Caenorhabditis elegans: one gene and its partners. The protein of the gene in region 4 interacts with the protein of the main gene of each other region in a pairwise test. Each region holds a gene or a part of one and is shown on either strand. Other genes may lie near its edges.

Evidence for each region.
Region 1: the proteins of ncl-1 (region 4) and hcp-1 interact in a two-hybrid assay, tested with the Caenorhabditis elegans proteins (one study listed by BioGRID).
Region 2: the proteins of ncl-1 (region 4) and mut-16 interact in a two-hybrid assay, tested with the Caenorhabditis elegans proteins (one study listed by BioGRID).
Region 3: the proteins of ncl-1 (region 4) and mrg-1 interact in a two-hybrid assay, tested with the Caenorhabditis elegans proteins (one study listed by BioGRID).

The regions. Positions count from the first base shown.
Region 1 is NC_003283.11:6,592,312-6,599,734, forward strand, and holds hcp-1 (HoloCentric chromosome binding Protein), read left to right. Parts: upstream 1-1,882; 5' UTR 1,883-1,914; coding exon 1,915-1,965; intron 1,966-2,022; coding exon 2,023-2,624; intron 2,625-2,668; coding exon 2,669-3,170; intron 3,171-3,219; coding exon 3,220-3,522; intron 3,523-3,573; coding exon 3,574-5,487; intron 5,488-5,534; coding exon 5,535-5,798; intron 5,799-5,850; coding exon 5,851-6,413; intron 6,414-6,462; coding exon 6,463-6,691; 3' UTR 6,692-6,897; downstream 6,898-7,423. Other genes in the region: ZK1055.2 (Nucleotide-diphospho-sugar transferase domain-containing protein), read left to right, coding at 223-305, 350-572, 621-685, 730-897, 945-1,063, 1,110-1,323; ZK1055.6 (Protein F37C4.5), read right to left, coding at 6,944-7,396.
Region 2 is NC_003279.8:10,078,555-10,086,187, reverse strand, and holds mut-16 (MUTator), read right to left. Parts: upstream 6,030-7,633; 5' UTR 6,027-6,029; coding exon 5,787-6,026; intron 5,743-5,786; coding exon 5,620-5,742; intron 5,579-5,619; coding exon 5,399-5,578; intron 5,353-5,398; coding exon 5,228-5,352; intron 4,776-5,227; coding exon 4,384-4,775; intron 4,334-4,383; coding exon 4,211-4,333; intron 4,166-4,210; coding exon 4,053-4,165; intron 3,973-4,052; coding exon 3,543-3,972; intron 3,344-3,542; coding exon 3,035-3,343; intron 2,985-3,034; coding exon 2,924-2,984; intron 2,874-2,923; coding exon 2,801-2,873; intron 2,266-2,800; coding exon 2,147-2,265; intron 1,839-2,146; coding exon 1,115-1,838; intron 822-1,114; coding exon 669-821; 3' UTR 480-668; downstream 1-479.
Region 3 is NC_003281.10:12,870,757-12,876,548, reverse strand, and holds mrg-1 (Mortality factor related protein 1), read left to right. Parts: upstream 1-1,894; coding exon 1,895-2,389; intron 2,390-2,448; coding exon 2,449-2,597; intron 2,598-3,517; coding exon 3,518-3,737; intron 3,738-4,881; coding exon 4,882-5,031; 3' UTR 5,032-5,275; downstream 5,276-5,792. Other genes in the region: cec-7 (Chromo domain-containing protein), read left to right, coding at 41-325, 377-682; spcs-2 (Signal peptidase complex subunit 2), read right to left, coding at 922-1,383, 1,438-1,518. UniProt on the Caenorhabditis elegans protein: Protein involved in the remodeling of chromatin thereby regulating various processes including transcription, chromosome synapsis and genome integrity.
Region 4 is NC_003281.10:7,717,868-7,722,795, forward strand, and holds the start of ncl-1 (RING-type E3 ubiquitin transferase), read left to right. Parts: upstream 1-1,923; coding exon 1,924-1,949; intron 1,950-4,928. UniProt on the Caenorhabditis elegans protein: Translational repressor that inhibits protein synthesis.

The DNA of each region.
Region 1 (7,423 bases), on a different chromosome or scaffold from region 4:
AAGTAAAAAAACTGGTTTTTTTAAAAGGATTTTTAATATTTTAATTTTTTTTTAATTATTTATGTTAAAACATTCTTGGAACATGCCACATTGCCCTGGATTTCTTTAAAGCCCATATTTTTCGAAAATTTGCCAATTTTCCAAAACTTTGACTGGAAATTTTAAAAACTTTAAAAAACATTTTGGAATGTTTTATTATGACGTTCTATTGTTATTTTTCAGAAACGGTTCGTTGCTACTGCAAAATCCATAATTATGAATTTGTTCTCGCAGTTGATACTGATTTCAAATGTGCTCATAAAGATGTAAGTTCTAATTTTTTTTAATTTAAAAAAAGCTAACATTTCAGAAATTTTTCCGCCGCCACTGTGTTTCCGCAAAGATTCTCCCATTATTTGATGCGATCCTATTCTTAGACGCTGATATTGGTGTTGTGAATCCAAAGCGAAAAATTGAAGAGTTTTTGGATGATGGAATTGATGTTACATTCTATGATAGATTCTATAATTGGGAGATCATGGCTGGATCTTATATTGCAAGAAATACTCAATATGCTATTGATTTATTAAACGGTTAGTTTTTTATTCGAAATTTTTGTGATGAATTTAATAAAATTGCAGAGTTTGCTGATTATGAGTACAAGTTACCAAATAGTTTTCATGGAACGGATAATGGAGCACTTCATGTAACTTGGTAACTTCCTATTTCAATTTTTATTTTATTGTTTAGATTTTCCTTGCCGAAAAGTTGTTCCCACAGGCTTCTGCAAATACGAAAGTATGCAAAAAAGCTTATAACAATTCTAAAAATTTTGATGATCTCTTCACCTACGAGTCATGTATCCGAGCAATATTTGGCGTATCCACTGATTTTGGAAAAGTTAGAATTATGAAAAAAGTAGGTTTAAAATTAATACCACAACATCTACAATATTAACTGTACAGGGAACAGGATGGGCTAAAGACGGCTGGCTGACATCAATGATGTGGCATCCAGAGTTAGATTTCATGTTCCATGGTTGGAAAACGAATCAATTGAGAGAAACGCCGAATGTGAAGCTTGAGTTGGCAAATTACCTGAATTTTTTAAAAATTATTCAAGTATTACAGGCCTAGCCAAATGGGACGAGATTTTTGGTATAATCCTTTGAGTGGGCCTATAGATCTTCAAAAATGTAGTCCTCAAAATTCGACATGGTCATACGATTCACGACTTCGTGGAGATAAAAACGAAATTCTGAAAAGCCTGAGAATGTTCGAAGAAAATGTTGCATTTCAGCAAGTTTTGTCTTATATCCGGATGATGGGTTTATTGTTTCAGTAACCAGCAATTTTAAACTTTAAATTCAGATTTTGTGTATGTATATTTACTTGAATTGTAAGACAAGATATATTTTTGGAATAAAAATTTGTGAAAACTACATAAAACGCAAACGATGGTTTTTAATTTTTTTGTTCCAATCAACCCCATTTTTACAAGGCCACAAACTGCAAAATAAATAAAATATACCGATTTTCACTTGTAGACCTATTATATTTTGACCTTATGGTCGGTAAGAGCAACCGTGCTCCACCGCACATGGCGGGAAGGTTTCAATTTTGAATCACCACGCGCGGGAATCCGGCACTTTTCATTTCGTTCATTCATTCATTATTCATGAACGTTCATTTTCAGTTATCTGACATTTGGAAAATACTGTTTTGTTACTTTATTTGTTGCCACATAACGTCAAAAAGTTTCACACGCAGTATTTAATAGATATATTTCTAAAAACTTATTTTCCCCTTAATTTCCTGTTTAGTACTTTTTTCCTCCTTTTTTCAAATCACGCGCCCTTTTTGATTTTTAATATCCCTTGTGTAATTTCCATAATCATTATTGCTAATTTATAGATAAATCGACGTTTCTTTCACAATGGACGAATCGCCGATATTCGACAACGAGAACAAGCGCTCAGCTGGAAATGTAAGTTGAATTTTCTCAAAATTTTAATTAAATCAATGACAATATAAATTATTTCAGAAGCGCCAGCAAACCGAGTCGCCATTTTCCGCCGCTACGCCTAAATCACGACTAGGAAGAGAACCGAAACGCATTTTTGGAACTTCGTCGGGCAATATGGCCGATAGCAACCTGGAGGAGACCTGCCTCGAGCATGATTCCCGCCCGTCTTCTGCTTCTTCTATCACCCCTGCCGACAACACAAGTCTACTGGATTTGTCTACAGTAACAGCTTTGGCTACTGATGATGCATCCTTCGTGGGAACCAACGATGCTTCCATCACTCCGGGCAGCAATGTTGATGTGAATTTAGAACAATCTGAGCTCTACGACACCTCAAATTGCACGAGCAACCTGAGCATGGTTCAAGAAAGCGACGAGACGGACGCCGATGCCACACTGTCCAATGATTTCGATAATCAATTGGCACTTGACGGAGAGACTACGCCTACTGCTTCTCGTACTCCAATGAGCCAGATTCTGAGCCGAGAATGTACTCCAACAGTATCTAATCCACAGCTTCTCACGGAAATCGCCAAAGGAGTAGATCAGCCTACAAAGCCAGTCCGAGATGTCCCCCAGTCCCCAGTGCTTCCTGTCAAAGGTCACATTGACTTCTCACTGTAAGAAATTGTCGTATTTATAGCTTAAAACAAAATAATTTCAGACACGAGTTTGAAATGTTGGAGCAGAATTCCGAGCATGAGGAGTCAATCAAACTTCTTCAGTCGCAGATCGAGCTTCTCCGTCAAAGTCACAGTCAACAGCTCAGTGAGATTCAAGAAGCTCGAATTTTTGAGGAAAAGATGCTGACTCAGCAAGTAGATTCTGCAATGAAAAAGGCAAAATCTGACCGCGAAGCCGCTAAGGCACGAGAACAAGTTCTCGAGAAACAAGTTCAGGAGTTACGCTTGAAGCTGGAAGAGCCTGACGAAGAGAAGAATCAGTTGGTACACAATCTTGCTGCTCTGAACGCTCAAATCGAGGAGTTGACCCAGAAGGCTTTGAAAGTAGATTCGATGCAACAAGGAGCGACTGCTTCGGAAGATCGGATTCGGGAGTTAATTGGAGGCCATCAAGAAGCAATCAAACAGCTTGAGAATACCAAACAAATGAACGAAAGTCTTCAGCGCGATCTAGTAGAGAAAGAAGCGAGATTCAGTGAAGAGGTTTTTATAGAATTTATTGCCGAAGTAAATTTAATTAATTATTTTTAAGATGGAAAGGATTCGCACCGAATCACAAACAACAAGTGAATCGCTGAAGTATGAGCACGAACTTGTTCGCAAGATGATGATTGAGGATATGGAGAAACTGGAGGCAGAAGTACTCGCCCTCAAATCCCAACAAGCAAACTTGGAGATCCAAGAATTTCACGACAAGATCAAACAACTTGAATTGGAGGTGCAACTGTCGTCTGAGAACAAAGAAAAACTTCAAGCAGAGTTAATGGTGGTACAAGAAAAAGCTTCCGAAAACATCAAGAATGCCGAGGAAAAAGTGAACGGCCTTGAAGCAGAGGTTGGCTTAATTGAATAATCACAAATCAATATATATATTTTTATTTTTCAGGTCGAAAAGCTGCGATTTGAAGCCACCAATAATTCTCGTGTTGTGGAGCTCGAGCAACAACTCGAAGAGTTCAGATCGCTCATGATTAAAGAGATTTCTGATTTGGAGAACCAGTTAGAAGCTGCAAAACTTGAGTCAGGATCCACGAGTGAGCCCAATGCACAGTTGGAGGCATCGCAAGCTACAATCCAGGAATTGACTTCTGAGATGAAGATGCAGTTGGAAGAAGTGAAGAGACAGTCTGATGAAAACAATTCGTTGAATGTACATCTGACATCTTCAAACGAAAAAATTGCGGAACTAACGTCTTCATTGGAGATGGTGGCTGCTCAACTCTTATCTTCACAACAAGAAACTGATGTTGCCGTCACTAAGGTGGAAAATCTGGAGTTGAAGATGGAAGAGGCTCATCGAATGTATTTATTGGATATTGAACTGTCAAGAGTAAAGATTGACGAACTTCAGTCTTCTATTGAGGTGCTTTCAAAGCTTGAACGTGAGGTTCAGTCATCCAATTTGCAAAACGAAGAGTTGAAACTTTCTCTGAGGAATTTTGAAGAACTTCAAGCCGATCTTGCCATGTCGAAAGCAAAGAATGAAGAACTCGAACAGCAAATTGAAGATTCTAGTCGGGAGTTTTCTGTCATCACTGAAGCAAGTAAGGAAATGAAGTTGAAATGGGATTCGTCTGAAGCTCAGATGTCTGAAATGATAGCTTCTTTGGCCGCCTTCCAAGAAGAAATGCAATCAACTCAAGCTGATGCTGTCGCTTCTGAAGATAAAGTCAAACAGGTGGAATCTTTGTTGGAGAATTTGAAGGAACCTTTGGAGGAATTAAACAATCTTCGTGCCAATTTGAAGGATTCCAACGATAAGATTTTGGATCTTCAATCTCAACTCGAATTGGCTCAGCAATCTTCGGATCTCGCTGATCGTCTTCAGGAGGACTTGAGAACTTCAGATGCCAGGGTCCAAGAATTGAATATTCAAGTGTCTGAACTCGAACAGCAAATTGAAGTTTCTAGTCGGGAGTTTTCTGTCATCACTGAAGCGAATAAGGAAATGCAGTTGAAGTTGGATTCGTCTGAAGCACAGATTTCTGAAATGACAGCTTCATTGACCGCCTTCCAAGAAGAAATGCAATCAACTCGGGCTGATGCTGTCGCTTCTGAAGATAAAGTCAAAGAGTTGGAATCTTTGTTGGAGAATTTGAAGGAACCTTTGGAGGAATTAAACAATCTTCGTGCCAATTTGAAGGATTCCAACGGTAAGGTTTTGGAGCTTCAATCTCAACTCGACTTGGCTCAGCAGTTTTCGGATCTCACTGATCGTCTTCAGGAAGACTTGAGAACTTCAGATGCCAGGGTTCAAGAGTTAAACGTGCAAGTCTCTGATCTTCAAAGCGAGCTTGAAACTGCTCGCCAGGACACCAATGCTGTTCAAGTCGTTATGGAAGCTCTTAAATCAGAACAAGGTGAATCGTATGAAGCTCTTCGTGCTGAACTTGACGCTGCTGTTCAAGAAAAAGGCAGATCTTCTGATCTCGTAACTTCGTTGGAAGGTAAAATTCAGGAGTTAGAAACTGCTATCGAGAGTAGTACAGCTGAAAACGTTCAAAAAAGCAAAACCATCCAAGACTTCACCGACAAAGTGTCACTACTTGAATCGCAAATCTGTGAGCTGAAAAGTCAAAATGAGCAGATGGAAATTGATACTAACTTGAATATGGATCAGTTATCCGAAATGTCTTCTCAGTTGGAATCTGCAAACGCCGAGCTCATTGAACTGACGAGGACTTCCGCTGAGACTATTGATAAGCTTCGTGGAGAAGTAGAAAAGTCTACAAAGGCAATGATGGATCAAGAAGAACATCTTGCGGAACTAGTGGCCAAGATTGAAAGCCGAGATGTTGAGGTTTGACGAAATTTCTCTTTTATATTTATAAAATTGTATTTTTTCAGAACGCGGATCAAGCTGCAAAGCACAAGGAAGAACAAGAACGCCTCCAATCCGTAATTGATACTCTTCGGACATCACAGAGTACAATCGAAGAATCTCAAGCCAAGTCAGAGGAGTTGAATTCACGCATTAAAGAGCTTCAAGCATCAATTGAGTTTGCACAAAAGGCCCTAGCTGACACCGAAAACGCAAAGCAGGAGAAAGTCGAAGAACTCGAAAAAGTTCAGGAGCAGATGCTAAACCTCGTGCAAGCTTTCGAAGTGGAGGTTAGTTTAACGGACATTTTTTTAATTCCAAATTTATTGATAAATTTTACAGAAAGCATCGATCCGATTGGAGTGGAACTCGTCTTTGAGCAATGCAAACGAAAAACTCGAGGCTGCAGAGGAAGCACTCTCTCAGAAAGAGAACACGATTGTTACTCTGGAGTCGCGGATCGAAACAATCTCACAGCAGTTTGAGGCTCGCCTGGAAGAAGCAAATGTCTGGAAGTCGCAGGCAATGCAACTCGGCACTCTCACTCAATCGCTTTCGCAAATGCAACGACAGCTTGGAGAAATGCATGAGAAGATGGAAGCATCTGACCGTCGTGTCATTGAAGTCGAAGAACAAGCTCAACACGACATCACTTTGATTCAAGTTGAAAATAAAGAACAGTCGGAAGCACTGGAACAAGCACATTCTCGTATTCTGGAACTTGAGGAAAAGTTGGTGAGGGCTGAAATCGAAATCCAGCGATTGGAGAAAGTTTGTGATGCATTTGATGATGACGAGCGGGAGTATAAGGACAAGATCATGACACTTCAGTCCGAGATCAAGCAGCTGAAGGGTGTAAAGACGCCGCCACGAGTAATGGGACTGATCGAGCAAGCAAGACTTGGGTGAGTTGAACATGTATTAAAATTGACAAGTTGAGCGTTTTATTTTCAGTGTGAAACAACTGAGCCGCGAAAGCTCACTTGTCGAACCGCAAAACTCTGCTCATGAGGATGCCTTCGAAGATGCGCAGAACTCCTTCCAAGATCGTCTTCAAACCATGTCGAATACTACTGCCCGGCAGATAGATGCTTCAAATCATCATCCGGAGGATCACGTTTTGGAGAAGTCGGCTCGCGAAACTCCATCGAAGAAGAATCGATCAAACTGCCAACACCAATAGGCTATAAGATTCTCTCACCCCACTAGATCTCTCACCGTCCCCCACTAACATATGTGCCATGAATACCCGTTCTGAACCCATATTTACTTGTCAAATATTATTTGCTTTTAGGGTCAGAATAAACGGGTTTTTAAATTTATCAACGATTTTTAGTCTCATTAAAATACAATCAAAGAAGATCCTGAATAAAGGTGACGTCATTTATAGTGAAAAAGTGATATATTACAGCTCAGAAATTTCACAGGATTATTATCATTGCAAATTTTCGCGAAGTTCGATGTTCTCTCCTTTCGCATGTTCAACAATCCATTTAATCAATAGATCCTTCGAACTGATAGCGTCTAATTTGATAGTCCACTCCAAGTTGTTATCTTTGTTCAGAATAATTCCAACATTTGGTTCAGCGTTTTCTGAATTAATTTGATCAGTTTGATCAGAGGTAATGCCAACTGGAGATGTCAGTTTCACACGTATCTTCTCATCTGTGCTACGTGGTACATGATGCTTGATTGTTAACAGTACAGGCGGTCCACTTCTTGTATTCTTTACACTAATCGTCTGCTCGGTGGCATGAGTTGAATGTTTTGTGATGTAACCGCCTTCTTCATGGAACTTTTTGGCTGGCTTATATTCGATACGAATGGCCGTGTCCACGCCTAGAGAACAGGTGAATCGTTCACCTGGTGACACATCTTTCATGTGACTCTGAAACATGAATTGCAATAAATTCTC
Region 2 (7,633 bases), on a different chromosome or scaffold from region 4:
TCCAAAAAAGAAAAATTTTAGTTTCAAAACCGTCGTAGTGTGTATCCTTTTTTGGACAACATTTTTCTCCAAAATAGTTTCACCAAAATTTGCAAAATTTGTCATTTTGTGTTTTCTTGTATTTTTCCCCTACGTAGTTGCACTTTGTCATTCGTTTTAGTATAATTATGCTGTAAATACGAGCTATTTTCTCTTTTTGAATCTAATATTTCTGAAATTCCAAAGAAAAGGAAAACAGTAATTAGATTCAAAAAGTTGCCAATTCTGAAGCAATCACCCCCAAATACTGAAAACGTGCATCCCTCATCCTCCATCCAGTGCCTTCGTTCCAATTTTCAACCCGAGTTTTCCCTTCATCCCTTTCCCAGAGACACGTATCCCTGTTTTGAATTGTCACCGTCACCACCAATATTCGTGCAGTATTATTATTATCAGTTGACTCCCGGTTCTTCTACTTTTTATAAATATTAAAACACAAATTTGGACTCGTAAAAATATTAATTAGGAAAGTTTGGCGATTCAAGTATGAAAAAACAGGTAATAATCAGTAGGCAGTCAATAAGAACGAAAATTAAAAAAAAAAAACATGGGTTTAGAAAAAATGAAAAAATTGAGACGAGTGGGTGAATACAAATAAAAATGGAACAGTAATAGGAACAAGTAAATTCTTAGTTTCGGATATCATCTTTCAAAACGACATACGGCTCAATGTCACCTCTTTCCACTATAGCAACCGATGAAGAATCTCTAATATATTGGACAATATCAATGTACCGAGGAATAGCAGGACGTCTGCTCACTTCTGTTCTCAGTTCTTGTACCTGAAAATAATTCACTTTTAACGAAAACCTTTTCATTAAAAAAACTTAACATAAAATTGGTACAGTTACTCTAATCAAGAAGTCTTTTTGAAAGAAAAAACATGGCATTTTTCGAAGTAAAAAGCTTGTTTTAATTATACGAAAATATAGTGTAGAGATGATTTGAAAATACTCTTTATTTTTAAAGATTTTTTTCGTATGTGTCAATCAAATTTTCTCGTAATACTTTTTATATAATTACTAATATCACATCGTAGAACAAATTGAAACTTTCAACGAAAATTACTACTTACTGTCAATACTGTCAAGTTCATGCTTCGATAACGGAGAATTATATCTCTCAATTCCTTCTCAATTCCATCTTGAAATATTAATTCCCTGTTCGATGGCTGACGATTCGAAGAGAGAACACTAAAAGATCTTTGAGCTTCCGGTTGATGGTTTGATTGTCCTCCGTTTTTATTAAAGTACGGCGCAGAATTTCCGTTAAAATTGTCATATCCTTGTGGTTGTGACTGATGAGGCATATGACTTCCGTGATGGTCAAATTGATGTGGATTTTGACTGTATCCGACTGTCATTCGATCTCTTTCATAATCAGCAAGTTTGAAGTTTCCGTGTGGATCGTATTCTGGAGGATTTGGTGGAAACTGATCAGGTGATCTTCTTCTTTGTGATGAATGATCTTCATGATAAACTGATCTACTGCCATAATGATTGAATTGTGGATTACATCCATAATTTGGATCGGAAGAAGTCGGACCCTGATTCGGATTGTACGAATTTTGATATCCATTTTGATTGATATGAGGTTGATTGCTCATATGTGATGGTTGTTGGCCAACGTGATTATAAGCAGGTTGTGGCACTTGAGAATAATTAAATGGAGAAGGACCATGTTGAGGGTTGTTCTGAATTGAATTGTATGGTGGATACTGTGGTGCCGGTTGTTGATAGATTGGTTGCTGCTGATTAACTGGCGGATACTGTTGGCCGTGCATCGGTTGGTGGATTGGCCTGAAAAATGTTAGTTTTGTGAATTTTTCTGTTTTTTTTTCTCAATTTTAGCAAAAAAGGATATGTCTTTTGCTTGCATGAAAACCCCAAGACTACAATTATTACGCGAATTGTTTTACATTACTTTTAAAGATGGTCAAATAATATCAAATTTCTTGAAAATATTGTCAAATTTATGAATTTATTAACCGAAAAAGAGTTTTTTTATTTCGGAAATTTTTGCGAAATCTTATCAAAAAATTCGATTTGGGTCCATTTGAGCGTTCTTTATTTAACTTTTGGAATGAATTTTTAAGTATAATCCTTACTGTTGATGATGTATTGGTTGAGGCGCATATTGATGTGGTTGAGGTTGTTGTACAGGAAGCTGTGGCTGATATGTTGGCTGTTGAGGGATATATGGTGCACCCGGATGAGAGTTTTGATACTGAAAAGATAATGATTATGACTTCAAACTTGTAGGATTTGAGAAAAAAACGAACATGGTTAAAGAAATATGGTTCAAATACCCAACGCATCACTTCGAAAAGTTTCTGACTGTGTTGGACAATAAATTAATGGAAAAGATCTTCAGTCTTTTAAAAGAATGTCCCAATTCTTGTTCACGTGAACAATACTGTTTTCTTTCAGTTTTTCTGTTAATTTTTTCTGTCTTCCAGAGAACTCAATAAATTATAATTTCACATTTCTCTCAACTTTATCCGAACTGTGAAGCAAAACTATTTCGAAAACAGCAAAAATAGATCGAAAATGTAATCATGTGAACAATTTTTCGCAAATTTTCAAATATTTGTTGTAGATACACAGTCAAAGTTCTCAAGACTACGGTCATTAAAATTGGATCACTATGAAATTTCAGTGGTACAGAAATGCACGGAGGCATTAGATTTTTCTAACAATTTTTTCTAACGTAAGTGTGGATAGAATGTTTAGACTTAAAATATTATTAAAAATGAAATTACCACAGCTGTTTGCATTGGTTGATTGGCTGGTTGACTTTGGTTGACTGGTGGTGGTGCTGGATGTGATGGCAGTCTGCAATAATTTTTTTGGTAATTGAAAGATTAAATTTTAAAGCTAGGAACCTTCTGTTGATGAAACCATTGGCTGAAGGTCGTTCTTTCAAAAGCGGATTCCGTACAGGCTCTGAAACTGATTTTAGGCTATTAAGACGAGTCCTAAACTGCTTAAAATACCTTTTGGCGCAACTTTAATCGGTTTGTGCGTATCCGCTGGTGTGAAAGGAAGTTGAACATTGCGTCTATCCTCGTCGTGATTCGATTTAGAGTAGAAATTTCCGACTTCTCTGAGTGGAGCTGGATTCTCAGGTGGAACGACGACTTCAGGACGTGTCGAAACAGGGATTGACGGTGCTGCGGTCGTAGAAGACGATTCTACTACTGGAGTCGGGAGAGCTACATTCACAGTGTCAACTGGAGGTGTATTGGAAGTGTCAGTAGCAGATGATTCTGATTTTTTCTTGTACGTATTGAATCGAGTCTCAACTGAAATAGATTTTCATAAATTTAATAGTTCAAATTGGTGATTTTGGAAAATTTTTGTAAGGCGGAATATCGTTGGTGTTTGAAAGTTCAAAAATTTAAAATAGTCTCAAGTTCAGAAATACCACAATAGAAAAATGAAAAAAAACGAAGCATCATCCCCATTCACTAAACTCCGCTTTGGAAATGATAAAATTCGTACTTTTCGAAGGAGGTTGCTGCTTAGACTTCGTGTGCTTCTCACGACTTCTTAGTTCTCTTTCCTGTTTCTTTTTAAGTTTATCCTTTCTTCTTTGACGCTTAATCTCCTTTTGCTCGGGATCTTCATCAGAGTAGGATCCTTCAGAAGTGATTTCACTATCTGATGTCGTATCACCGACATCTTGAACACGCTCACCACGATCTCCATATGAAGGACCACGGTTACCATTGGTGATTGTGCTTCTGCTAAGAGCTGGTGCTCCACCAAATGGATTCGGAATCGCGGATCGTTGAGGGGCTCCGGACGAAGTGCCTTGGCCCATTAGTGGATCTGTTTCCATCACACGATTGACTGGAGAAGTGGGTGCACGTGGAGGACGAGATGTTGACCGATCAGTATTTCGATTAAAGTGCGATGAAGTTGTTGGTTGCTGAAAATCACATAAATTTCATTTCTATATTGCACACAAAGAATTTTGTGAATAATGAATGTTTTTTTTATCGCACTCACCAACGATCCATCATCATCTGCATTGTTAGAAATGCCCCCAGCAAAAGTCGATGGTTGATAATTCGGATCTGGTACAATTACATTTCTGCGTTGTTGTGGACCACGACGATCATCTAGAAAAGAAAGATTTTTAGATAATCACAAAAAATGCAATGTACCTGATCTCTGTCCACCGGCCCTATAATTGCCTTGGCTTCCGTAGTTCTGATTTCTCTGATTGCCGGTTTTCCATTTGTTCCTAACATCCGCAATATGTTCATCAGTGAAAAGAACAACTGGTCCTGAATGAACAAACGTTGAAAATAAATCGAAAATATTTTTAGTTACTCACGGTTTCCTTCATCGTCAGCTCTAAAATAGAGTTCTACAGTTTTGCCGTTGGCTTGTGAAACCACAATTTCAGAAAATCTTGCAGTTGTTAGAAACTTCTTCAGTGTTCCTCGATTTGTATACTCTTTGAACCAATCATTATTCCACAGTTTTTCTGGATCGAGTTGAAGAATATCCTTATATTTTCGAAAAATATTCGCATGTGCCGCACCAGTAACCATATTTGTATAAGCAGTTGAAAGAATTTGATATTTAACTGAACGAATGCTATATTCATTTCTGACAGCCATTAACAATTCCGCAATCATGTTGAATGTGAGTAGAGTACGAATTTCCTTCTCTTCGGATTCAAATGTATCTGCTTCCTTTTTCTTCCTTTCCTGGCGTTTGTGCCTGCAAATTTTATACGCCATTTCGAGGAAACACCACCGATCGAAGAGACTGTGTTTTTTTTGTGGTGATTTGGCAAGGAGAGCTCAGAAATATTTAACTTATATATTTTTTTTTTTTGTACTGAAATATTTTCTTAATTTCTCTCGTGAATCGGCACAATAGTCATTCGATTAAAAAAAATGGAATTTGAGCAATTTCGCTATTGATTTTGAAAAAATATGTTCAAAACAAGAATAAAATAATTCAAATTCGATTATTCCATGAACATAGGGAATTATATCGATTTACGAGAGCAATTATGACGGGGTTTCAGTGCAAAAAACAAATTAATTGCTGTTTTTAACAATAATTCACATAAAAATTTCCACAAAAAAAGCCTGTAATAGCGTCTCTCTGATCGCCGGTGCCTTATTTCGAGTCGTTCAGAGCTTTTCGTGACAAAAAAAACGCACTGTTCTTCGGATCCATTCATCAACGAAACAACAGTCTCACGTTCTGAATCGGAAATGACTGGAAAGAATGCGCCCTCTTTGGACTGCAGCCAACCTCCTCGTACAAGTGCATGGGCGTGTTCGGTCTGAAAACAATTAAGTTATAGTCTCCCTATGCACATTGTAATTTACCTTGGAATCGTTTGGAAGCTGAGAAATAATTTCTGGAGGAAGCAATAAAACAGCTGTTACTTGAAGACTGTATCCCATACAAGATTTCAAACAATCATCCAATTCATCCGAGGAGTATCCAGAACGGAATTTCAATGGATTGCTCAGCAATGAAGAGCTCAGGAACAGCTGAAGATCACGCTAAACCATTAGGTCACGAGATCATATAAGTATTTAAATACCTTCATGATTTCTGGATTACTTGCATCGCTGAAATCATAATCGGCGTTATCATTTCTTCCGATGACGTTTTGTATAAGATTGTCCGGTATCGTTTCTGGTGGAGGTTCATCCATATTGTCATTCTGAATCAGAAAATAAAATTGAAATATACGAACACGAATCTTACCGCATAGTAGGCATCCACGTCAAAGTCATCGTCTCCTGAATCCAAATAACTATCGTAGTCATGTTCACCCGATGAATTTCCATAGCTATTAGTGTCATCTTCAGTTCGATTTTGCATGGGAGTTTCTTCACGATCAGTTTCCGTATACGAGGCGGGTGGTGGACCAACAACGATCCCCAATGGATCGATATATTGATCGGAGATGTCTAATTCCGGATAATCATCATCACTTTCGGACATTTTCTGCAAATATCGAGTATTTGAGTGGGTTGAAACGTTTGAACGGCAATAAATGAGAAGTAAACGATAATTTGCTAGAGGCATTAAAGAAAACTTTCTATTCCAGGAAGTATTACGATTCTGGGACAAACAAGCGAAATTTGTAATAAGGTCTCTCAATAATATATATAATAGCTAAAACTTCAAGTCGTGCACTGTTGCGTTAATTCATTTCATTTTGAGCCGATAAGTCTGCAATAAACAATAATCATAGATTATAAAGATTTTTAACAGTTAATATTTTGTTTTGTTTTTGAATTCGGAAGCTTGTTCTTCAATTTCCAGTGCTTGAGATTTAAATGAAATTCGATCTGGAAGGCAATTTTGAAACAAACTGATTGGAAAACTGTTTAAATGGTTTTTTCAATTGAAATAATGATAAAAAATGTTAAGGAGCAATAAAACGCGTTCTAAATATTCGATCGGCAAGCAGATGATTGACGGTTATTCATTGAAACGTCGATAGAGCGCGATTGCATTGCGTTCAGGAAAAGTTGAATTTCTATCGAAAACAAGTATTAGAATTGAAGAAAACGTTTTGAAACTAAAAAATCATCTAAATCGGCATGTTTTTTAAACTAATGAACAGTCGCTTCATTAAAACATAACAGAAATTTGTTTGTATACGATAAACTGGCTTTTAAAATTGAAAAATATATATATAAAATCAAATTCACCGGCACATTTTCTCAAACCGATCGACAAAAAAGTACTTTAATTTTCCGAAAGAACTATTATGAAAGTGTATCGGTAAATAGTTTATTTTTAGGCCACAAAAGGATCAATTAACATGTTAATTAACACCTTCTGTTTCGAATTTTATCGCTTTTTAGTAATTTTTTGAATAGCTAAACAATAATTACTTTGAAAACGAAAAGAAATAACGAATATGGTGAAGTAAATCGCAGTTTTAAAAGTTGAAAAGGAGAAAATACATTTTTCAAATACAACTCAAACAAAGCGGCGCTTCTACTACGGTCACACTCATTTCACGTGTATGATTTCAAATTAAATCGTATGTAGTTTTAAAATTTGGTTAAGATTTCAGATTTAAATATTTGAAAGCTTTAATAAAAAATTATTGAAGACCATATATAATTTTTGAAGGCTATAAACCTTAATTTTTAACGAAAATATTAGAAAAAAGTTTCAAAGCATTAAAATTAATTTCGCGTCGGGACCAGACGCGCACTCACCACAATGTTCCTTAATCAAAATTAGTTTCTGTATCGGCGGGAAAATTGAAAATTCATTTTGAGCATCGCATAATCTCACTCACCATATACATTCAACGACTAATCGAGTGAATAAATCGATCGGAAAGGACATTTACAAGTTTATCTGAGCGAATTATGACCGAAAATCCTATGGAAAGTGCATTAAAAAAACTTTTTCCAGTGAAATATAAACAAAAATTAGCTGAAAAATACATATAAGAAACTAGTTGAAAAAAGGTTGGTACCATTGATCCTTGGCCCCAAGATACACCCCATTTTGTCTACTGGATCCTTTGTCACTTTGGACACTTTGTCTCCAAAGAACCTACGTCACCCAAAAGTTTGCAATCT
Region 3 (5,792 bases), 5.2 Mb from region 4:
AATCTTGGAATTTTAAATAACTGAATTCATGTTTTTTCAGTCCGCCAGCAGCCGAGCCGAGGATGGTGAGAGCAGCTCAACAAATGATGCAGCTGGCACAAGATTCGTAATCGGCGAGCTAGTCGCATGCACCTACAAGGGAAAAGTATATGACGCGGTCATCACCGACATCAAGCCCGACAAGGATGGAAAGGAGTGCTACTGCATTCACTTCAAAGGATGGAACAATCGTTACGATGAGCAAATTCCAATCGGCGAGGAGACAGACCGTATTTTTAAAGGGATAGCAGATGGTTACCGAGCTCCAGTTGTCACAATGCGCAAGGTACTGCTCAGAGAATATTGAAGCTTTAAATAATAAATTTTGCATTTTCAGTCCGCTAGAAACCATGAAAAATCCACAGAGCCTCAAGCGACGAAAGAGAACGCTCCGCGGCTAGTCGGAAAACGTAGAGAACAATTCATAATCGGTGAGCAAGTCACGTGCACACAGAACGGAAAGCCATATGACGCGTACATCGTTGACATCATAACCGACACTGATGGGAAGGATTTTTACTGCGTTCACTTCAAAGGATGGAACAGCCGTTACGATGAGAAAATTCCAGTCGGCGAGGAGCAGGGTCGATTGTTCAAGGGCTCGGCCGCGAAGTACGCAGAGATGCTCGAGATGAAGAAGTAGATGGGATCTGCTAATAAATTGTTAAATTGCTAAAATTTTGTGTTTGTTAATTGTTCTTTTCAAGCTATTTGTACAATGAATTCTTACCGAAATTGACAAGTTCATATTGTATAAAATGCTGGAAATATTAGCTTTTGACAGACAAGAAACAGGATAGATGGAGAGAGAAAGGGGCACCCATGAAAAGCGAAGAAAAGGGGAAATAAATTAGGCCAAGAAAACCAGATAAATTAAATAAATTATTGTTCGCTACGAATCAAGCGGTTGTACAAGTCGTCGACCTCCTTCTTCACAAGTGGCACGATGATCTCTCCATCGTTATCGATATAAGCTCCGATAGATTTCGTGATTTTTCCCTGTCCAGAGCGTCCTTCCTTCTTAAACTCGGCCGACAGCGTGTACTTATCGTCGTGAGCCTTGATCTCCGAGCTCCACGCCCATTTTCTCGATTGTTTTCCGTCGACTTCGGTGGCCTCGTAGATGCAGTCCTTCTCGACGTACCACTGATACATTTGAAGAATTCCCATGCATATGAAGTAGGAAACCGAGCACACGGCGAGCACGATTTTCGACTTTGGGAACGGCTCGTAGTAGTCGTAGCCGCAGGCGAACGCGGAGAACGCGACGCCGATGAATGAGATGAGAAGACGCAGATTCATTAGATTATGCGATTCCGTCCATCCGACTTTGTCGTTCAGAATCTGAAACGAAAGATTTTAATTTTAATTTTAATTTTGGAGTTTCGGAGAGCAAACCTTTTTGACGACTTCATCAAGGGCATTCTTCACTGTTGGACCGTCCCATTTGTTCACAACTTTCACCGGCTCGTCCGTCATCTGAAAATTAATATATTTGAGAATAAAAATTGAATAGAAATCCAAAAAAACCCAAAAGAAATGAGCAAAAAGCTAGTGGTGACGTCTCAAAATTGGAAGTCTGCATTATTGCGTCGTGGTGTTTGCGTACTTTTTCGTGCGCGGCGCTATTGCATTTGCTTAGAAAACCGCGCCGCAGGGGGGTTTGAATTGCGAAAATGCCGTTGAGCTTTGAGAAAAGCTTTTTTTTTGTTTTTATCGATAAATTTATCGAATTTTCGATATTTTTAATCTATTTTTTGATTAAAAATCGTTCAAATATACATCATTGGCTAGAATTGCTGCTAAAACTCGCTTAAAACACCAATTAATCGATTAATTTCTTTAATTCCTTCAGATGTCTTCAAAGAAGAACTTCGAAGTCGGCGAGAACGTCGCGTGCATCTACAAAGGCAAACCATACGATGCCAAAATTACTGATATCAAAACCAACAGCGATGGCAAGGAACTCTACTGCGTTCACTTCAAGGGCTGGAACAATCGATACGATGAGAAAATCCCAGTCGGCGAGGAGAAAGACCGCATTTTCAAGGGAACAGCCTCGGAGTATGCAGAGAAACACAACGCAGAGCTGCCAACAACTGCATTGAAGCCGAAGAAGAAAAGTCTTGCGGCTGAAGCACCACGAGACGATCGTGATGACACTCCGGGGACGTCGAAGGGAAAAAAGGCGAAATCGGTGACAATTGCGCCGGTTATGACCGCCGACGATATGAAGGTCGAGCTTCCGAAGCCACTGAGAAAGATCCTGATCGATGACTACGATCTTGTCTGCCGTTATTTCATAAACATCGTGCCACACGAGTATTCAGTTGATCAAATCATCGAGGACGTAAGCATAAAAAAAATTAAAATATCATTTTTTCCGATTTTCAAATCCAACATTTTCAGTACATCAAAACCATTCCGGTCAGTAATGAGCAAATGAGAACGGTCGATGATCTGCTCATCGAATACGAGGAAGCTGATATAAAAATCACGAATTTGGCTCTGATTTGCACCGCGCGTGGACTCGTCGACTATTTTAATGTCACTTTGGGGTTGGTTAATTCGAATATGTTAAACAGATGCATGCAAATTGCACGTAGCCCAATGTTTAGTACCACTGCAACTTTTTTCGAACGAGGGACGAGGAAAAGCGGTTTCTAGCCCATGGCCGAGGGGCCGACAAGTTTCAGCGGCCATTTATCTTGCTTTGTTTTCCGCGTGTTTTCTTTAATTTTTCATAGACTTTTCCCGTTTTTTTCTTATTAAAACTAAATAAAAGATAAATAAATATTTTTGCAGATGCCAAAACAATTTCCAAGTGAAAAAATTATGTATTCAGTCGGCAAGTAGCGGTGAAAGTGCTCAATGTTATATGATGGATTACGGGAATACTAAATCTAAACCTTTTCTGAAACATGGTATATATTCTGCTTAGAGACTGAAACTACCCGATTTTCATCATAACGAGACCGCTGAAAAAGATTTGAGATTTTCAAAATTCAACTTTTTGTGCAAAAATCTCAGAACTTTTTGAGCGGTCTCGTTATGAAAATCGAATAGTTTCAGTCTCTAAGCAGAATAAATGCCATGTTTCAGAAAAACGATTAGGTTTAGTATTACCGTAATCCATCATATAACATTGACCACTTTCACCGCTTCTTGCCGACTGAATACACAATTTTTTCACCTGGAAATTGTTTTGGCATCTACAAAAATATTTATTTATCTTTTATTTAGTTTTAATAAGAAAAAACGGAAAATTTTTTTGAAAAACAAAAGAAAACACGCGGAAAACAAAGCAAGATAAATTGCCGCTAAGTCTTGTCGGCCCCTCGGCCATGGCCTAGAAACCGCTTTTCCTCGTCCCTCGTTCGATAAAAGTAGCAGTGAGTACACATAATGCCCTCCGCTTCGTAGAATAGTCGCCCCAATCCCACTTGAAACAGTTACGATGTAAGGATGAATTGTTTAGTTCCAGCTACCAACTGCTCTATAAGTTCGAGCGGCCACAGTACAATGACCTTGTCAAAAAGCGAGCTATGGAGAAGGGAATCGACATCACAAACCCGACCGCCCTGCAGGATAGTGGATTCCGTCCATCTCAAGAGTACGGAATTGTGCATTTCTTGAGAATGCTCGCAAAGCTCCCGGACTACCTGAAGCTCACTCAATGGAATGATCATGTTATTAACGTATGTTCGAAGTTCAACTCCTGGAGCGTCTCCTGAATCTGGTTTCCACACGGAATCTGTTTTTTTTTGGCGAAAAGGTGTAAAATTTGGAAAAATTAGGCCGAAAATTGGATCGAAACCGTCAATTTTCTCGATTTCAGGATCATAAAAAATCCCATTTTGTAGGGAATAAGCAGATTCACAAAACATTGATTTTTAAAATTGAAAAATGGGGAAATTGCCTTGTTTAATTTTAAAAATCAATTTTTTTTTGTGAATCTGCGTTTTCTCCACAAAATTGAATATTTTACGATCCTGAAATCGAAAAACTGACGGTTTCGATCCAGTTTGAGGCCAAATTTCCAAAATTTACATTTTTTCAATGCGTATCATTTTTCTCAACATTAATATAAATAAAAAATAGCAAAAAAAAACGATTTTCCGTGAATTCAGGAGCCCGAAATTGCTTTAAAACACGCCTATGGGACCACAATGACAGAATATCATGATAAAAAATTCAAAAAAATTTTATAAATTTTATATGATTTTTTGAAAATTGGAAAAATCTCAGTTTTCACCTAATTATTTTTGAATTACCGTCAATTGGATTTGTTCGATGGAGCGAGCTTGCATTATTTTCATTAATTAATTTTATTTTTTCTCGTTATTTGACTGGTTTTCTTCATTTTCTATGTTTTTTCCTCGGAAAATGAAAGAAATAAATAGGACAAATGCGAAATGTTTGTTAAAAAGTAATTGAAAATGCGTAAAACTGTGATATTCTGAGTTCCGACAAGCCTGAGATTAGTATATTTCACAGTTTTACTCATTTTCAATTACTTTTTAACAAACATTTCGCATTTGTCCTTTTTAAAAGCATAGAAAATGAAGAAAACCAGCCAAATAACGAGAAAAAATAAAATTAATTAATGAAAATAATGCAAGCGCGCTCCATCGAACAAATCCAATTGACGGTAATTCAAAAATAATTAGGTGAAAACTGAGATTTTTTCAATTTTCGAAAAATCATATAAAATCTAGAAATTTTTTTTTGAATTTTTTTAATCATGATATTCGGTCATTGTGGTACCATAGGCGTGTTTTAAAGCAATTTCCCCACTGAGCGTAGTCCCATGCTCCAAAAATAAAATAAATCAATTTTCAGCGCATCATGATTGGAGTTCACGATTTGATTGTGTTCCTGAATAAGAATCACGGGAAGTACTACAGAGGATCGTCTGATTATCAAGGTGCCTCCAACGACTACTATCGCCGATCTCTCGCCGCCGACGACGGAGTTGGAGCGAATCAATAGACTGATCTCCTTCATCATGTGTTCCATCCCAGACGATCTTCAATACACCGATATAACTTCAATAATTTTATACATTGTTCATTATTTTCCAAAGCTAGCCCCACCATTATGTTTTTGTGAAATCGTGGAGATCCATATTTTGTTCACGTTAATCTCACGTTTTCTGACGACTTCCACATTTCGCATTCCATTATCGTTCAATTTTCCGTTTAGTTGTTTCCCAACTATTCTAATGAATATGATTCTCATTTTCTTTTCAATAGCCCCCCACATTCATATTTTTCCAGATTCTTCTTCTCTTCCAACTCCCCGCCATTTTTAGCCTATCGAGATTTGATATAATGTCTGCGTGCCCCCAAAACTATTCCATCTCGCATTCCACGTGCCAGACTGGAAAGAAGAGGAAGACTGAAGATTTTTTTGAATATTAGAATATACTTTTTTCTTCCGATTTTGAAGTTTCATGATTAAGATGGTTAAATATTGAGAATGCTTATTGAACAACATAACTGACCCGCAAAATATCTCGTAGCGAAAATTCTTGTCGATTTACGGGCTCGATTTTCGAATTGAATTTATTTTTAAATAGTGACAGCGATATTTAATTTTCTTCTATCACTATTCAAACAATTCAAAAATCCGGGTCCGTAAATCGACACTACAGTAGTCATATTACTGTAGTTTTTGCTACAAGATATTTTGCGCGTCGGATATGTTGTTCAATACGCATTCTCAAAAATTACAAGAAGTTGTCTTTTTTT
Region 4 (4,928 bases):
ATATTTGAAACTACAGATTTTCAATTTTTTCTTATGGTGTGCAATATTTTGGTGACAAACGGGTTACTGTAACTCAGTTGTTGTAACTTTATGTTTTATAACACACTGTGATCTTGGCATGATCACCGAGCCATTTTGTACATTACTGTAGAACTTATTCGATTGTATAGTTCGGCAATTCTGTAATTCTGAGATTATCGAGTTCACAATTAGGAAAAGTGATTTTCGTGGGAGAATTGAAAGTTCACCCATCTCTCTTTTTGAAATTATTACTTTAAAAAATTAATAATGTTTGATAGTCAATAAATTATTATATAAATATCGATAATACGATAATTGCCGAATTTCTTCTTTTTTTTCAAAACGCCCTCTAACCTTCACATAAATTTTCTACAGTAATCTTTTGCACATGAATTTTCAAGAAGTGAAAATTTATATGAATTGTGGATTGCCAAATTAAAATTTGATACGATTACATTTTTATAAACTTTCACAATTGGTTTGTTTTAAAAAAATAAGTTTTTCTTGATTCTCTAACTCCTCTATTAGATCAATGATCTCTTAAAAGTGACCGCCCGTTTTCCACCCCAATTCCTCATTCCCACTCTTCTCCCGCACACGCATACATACCGCCCATCTCTATCTATCACATTCTCTCATTTTGACACACTGTTTCGTATGTTGTTTGTTCCAAAAAGTGTGTGACGGGTGGAAAACTGATGTGGAAATAGTGTCTTTTGCCCCTCTATCTTTTTGAAATGATAATAACTTTTTTCGAGAGTTTTTTGTTTTACTTTTTATTTTTTGAATTTTGATCGATTTGTATAAGTTGTATCTAATCTTGATCTAGATTTAACAACATTCATATTTCCCGCCAAATGAATTTTTAGGCCTAAAATTGTTTCCTTGGCAGCAGAATGTGTAGGCCAAAAAGTTATATAGAAAGATAGAGTTGACTCTAAAAAATTTTTAAAAATTAAAATTGTTGGAAATTATTATAATTCGTTAAACTTCAAACGGCTTCTAAAATTGTCACAATTGTGTGTGGGAAATTTAATGTGTTAGGGAAAACATTTTCCGCGCAAATTTGTCAAGATTAATTTTAGCATTTATTTGAATGATTTGCAGAATTTAAAGTTCGAGCTTCTCCGCTTTGCACTACTGGGCAATTCACTGAGCATAAAACCGCGCTTGCACGGTTGCTCTCCCCTTCCCGCCTCCACGCCTTTAAGAAGGTAGAAAAAAAATATAATCAAAAAAAAATATACAGCAACGGTTCAATATAATTGTAACACCGAACAGCGAGGCGGGCGATAGGAAGGCGAGGAAAAAGGCGCCATGTCGCCTCACCCTGATGGATTGCCAAATGGTAGTCAATGATGTTTGCATAATTTTCTTGATTCGTGGTATTTACCGAACTTGTACATCATACTTCACGCGAATTTTTGAAAATTGGTATCAAGATGGACCCTTCGTAGTTTGTCCCACATTCGTGTAAAACTTTTCTAGAACAAGACAATTTAAATTTCGTCCAAAAACCGAAACTCTGAAACAAATCTACCCAAAAATACGAAGTAAAACCAGTAGGAAATCATCAAAGTTCTGCACTGTTTGCACACAGTTTTCAATTTTTCCTCAATTTCCCTCTGCGTCTCTGACCATCTCTTAACTCTTCTTCTTTTCCCACTGTCACTTGACTTTTGTGATGTGACACACATATTTCCTATACGCTTCCCTCTTTCACCCACAAAAAGTTTGAATTCTGTAAATGATTTTTAGATCTCTTCCGGAACACTTTCAAACCGTCGATTTCAAATAACTGTTTCATACTAAAAGTTGAGGGAAATCTTGATTTAATTTCAGAAGCCTGCTCTACACCTGCTCTTCAGAGGAGATTCCACAGAAAGCCTCATCCAGAAGACAATGATTCCGTATCTAGAAATTTGCAGGTCAGTTGTTTTATTCAAAAATTAAACAATTTTAAACAAAAGGTTCTGACTATTTTCTAGTCTGCGTTTTATTCTAAAGTGTAATGTTTCCTACTTTTCCTAAGTCTCTCATTGTTGAACCTTCTTAATGATTTACTAGCTTCAAAAGAACGAAGCTCAAGGAACTGTTATACACAGTTTCAGAATTAAAAATAATCTAAAAATCGACACGAATTAAATGAGATCCTTCACAAGGAGAATAAACTGTGGGACGTCCGTCACATGTTCTGTTAAAAGTGAATTTTACTGAATTGGATAGATATCGAATCTATAAAAATCAATGTGTTAAACTTTTGCAAGTTTCAGTTTAAAATCAAAAATAAAAAGCTTCTCAAATAACGCTCTGTGGCAATAATAATTTTGAATATTCAAACAATTTCAAGGATAATAGGAACTTATTAAATATAGTTTCCCAGTCTCCTAGTCAAAATACGATTCACCCAATTTCCCTGACCACTTTCATAAAATTAGCCGAAATTGTTGTAGTGTAGGCAGTGATTTTTTCTGCTGCCTCAAAACGTTCAAGGAGTACTGTAGGTTTTTCATTTTCCGTACCGCCTGCTCTGTCAAAAATCCACATTAAGTGTTGATAAAATCGTTTTTATCAACGCGTTTTTTGCTGATTCCAACAAAATATTATGATAGCAAGAATGCTTACTTTTTTTTTCATTTTTCAGTTTAGTTCCTTTTCTTCGGCGAAAATGTAAATTTTGGTAGCTTCTCAAACAATGTTTCTGATAATTTGTACGTAGGGTTCCTACTCGGCAAAACGGCCTAACTTCATAGCATACTCTTGCAACTTCTTAAGAACAATTAGGCATTTTAGCTTTTAAGCAAACTTCTGCAGCTTTTCAGATGACTTTTGCAATTTCTTAGCAGATGTAAAGCTAAATTTCGCTCACAATCCCGTTGGTTTTCGCAACTTCTTGACAGCTTTTTACAAAGTTATATGAATGTTTTTATTAAGTTGCAGGAGTTTGCTATGAAGTTGCGACGTTTTGCCGAGTATAGAGATCATTAGAAGAAATGTGTATTGTATCCATTAATATATATATTTTTAGTTAATCCTCTCTAGTTTCACGAGAAAATCTGCTCAAAAAAAGGTCAAAAAACGGCGGTGATGCAGCCACATGACTTCTCTTCAGTTTTCTCTAGTTTCTCTTTTCGCATGGCTCAACAGAAGCCCATTGGGTCATTTTTTGCGCCTCTCTTTCTCTCCTCCAATCGCCACGCGTCTTTTGTGTCGTTTTCATGTGACTCTGGACGGAGGAGAGCACCGATCCATTTTTTTGATTGGAATAGGGGTGAAGATCTTGTGGTTGGGAGAATCTAGTTTGGTCGCAATGTTTTTTTTTTCAAAAAACTTTTGTGAAGCGTTCTAGAAAGCTTACTTCTGATGTGATGTTTCTATATTTAAAATCATAAAACATAGGTAGCCTGTAATATTTTCATAAATTTATTTTTGATGCAAAATGTCTTTTAACAATTTGAACTTTAAAAAACCCGTTTAAGCGATATATGAAAGCTCTCGCGCCTCCGTGGAACGCCTTGTTTCTAATTACAATTTAAAGCCTCTTTTAAAATAATTGAAAATCACAGCTTCTCCATTTTCCTCCTCAGTTCAATCCAGTTCGCTTCACCACTCCAAAAGTCCAAACTAAATTTGAAAATAGCTTTTGAAACCCAGAGACTCTAGAGAATCCGTCATTTTTTGTCCCATTTTTTTCGCACTTTCTGCCTAGAAGGTGGGTTTCGACCATTCATCATATTGCATAAAACAACTCTCTCTCTCTCTCTTGTTTGTTTGCCATTCCGATGCAAACCGCCCGTTCCTCTCGATGTGACGAACTGAATGAGAGAACGGCATAGTTAGTGTATGTGGCAAACGAAAACGACAATTCTTTTCCCCTTTCTCCAGCATTTTTTTCGCCCAATTCTCCCTCTTCCCTTTTGCCCCGATTGGTCTGATTTTTGATCGGCTCTCTGTTCGTGGTTCTGCGAGTGCATCTAGATGTAAGTTAGATGTAGATGAAAGTGTTTGGTTTTGCACTGTGTAATTTTTATAAATTTTGATTCACGGATGTAATCATCCCTGGTTATACATCATCAATTTACATGATTTTTTTAAAATTTGCACAATTTAGTTTCATCTGTAGAGTATTTTCCACACTGTAACCTATATTTTGCAGTTCTCAATTTTTGGTATATCTGAGAAGATACAAATGCCTAAAGTAAAAAACCTTCCATTTCAAAAATAGCAATATAAACTTTTACTGAATGCGCTAGAGGCTTTTCGGGGGTGCCTCTCACCCTTGTTTTCACGTTTCGCCTTGAAATAGTCAAATTTATCAAAAATTTGAATTTTTAAATTTCAAAGCGGAAAAGTTGTGTTACAATTAGAGAATGTAAAATACGATACTTTTTTTTTGCATAACTATAGCTTTTCAAAATCAAGACACTAAGGCATTTTTATAATCGTAAAACTATGAGTATTATTGTATTTCGAATATTTGCATATGCACAATATTGCGCAAAACTTTAAACAAGTTCCCCCAACATTTATTTTATGTTTTCTGAAACCAAGGCAACGAACTGAAAATCAGAGAACCGGTCTATCTGTTCGTTTTTTAAAATTCGAGTTTCTTCTCCTTAAAACCAATCAATTTTCTCATCTTCTTTTCGTAACGATGGCAGGCAACACAGCGGACAAAAAAACGAACGGAAATGTTGAGAATCGGCACGTTTTCGTTTTCGCCTCTCTAGAGAAATAGCGCTGGATTAGACTAGAGAAATCGGACATGAACCGAAAAAATTCATGGGATGGGCGCCAGAAATATATATATCGATGAATTCTGTCCCCTTTTCCTTTTCGATATGAAAGTTAACGATGGCAGCTGTACCAAAAAAAAGAGGGGAAAAACTGACTTTTCGACGATAAAA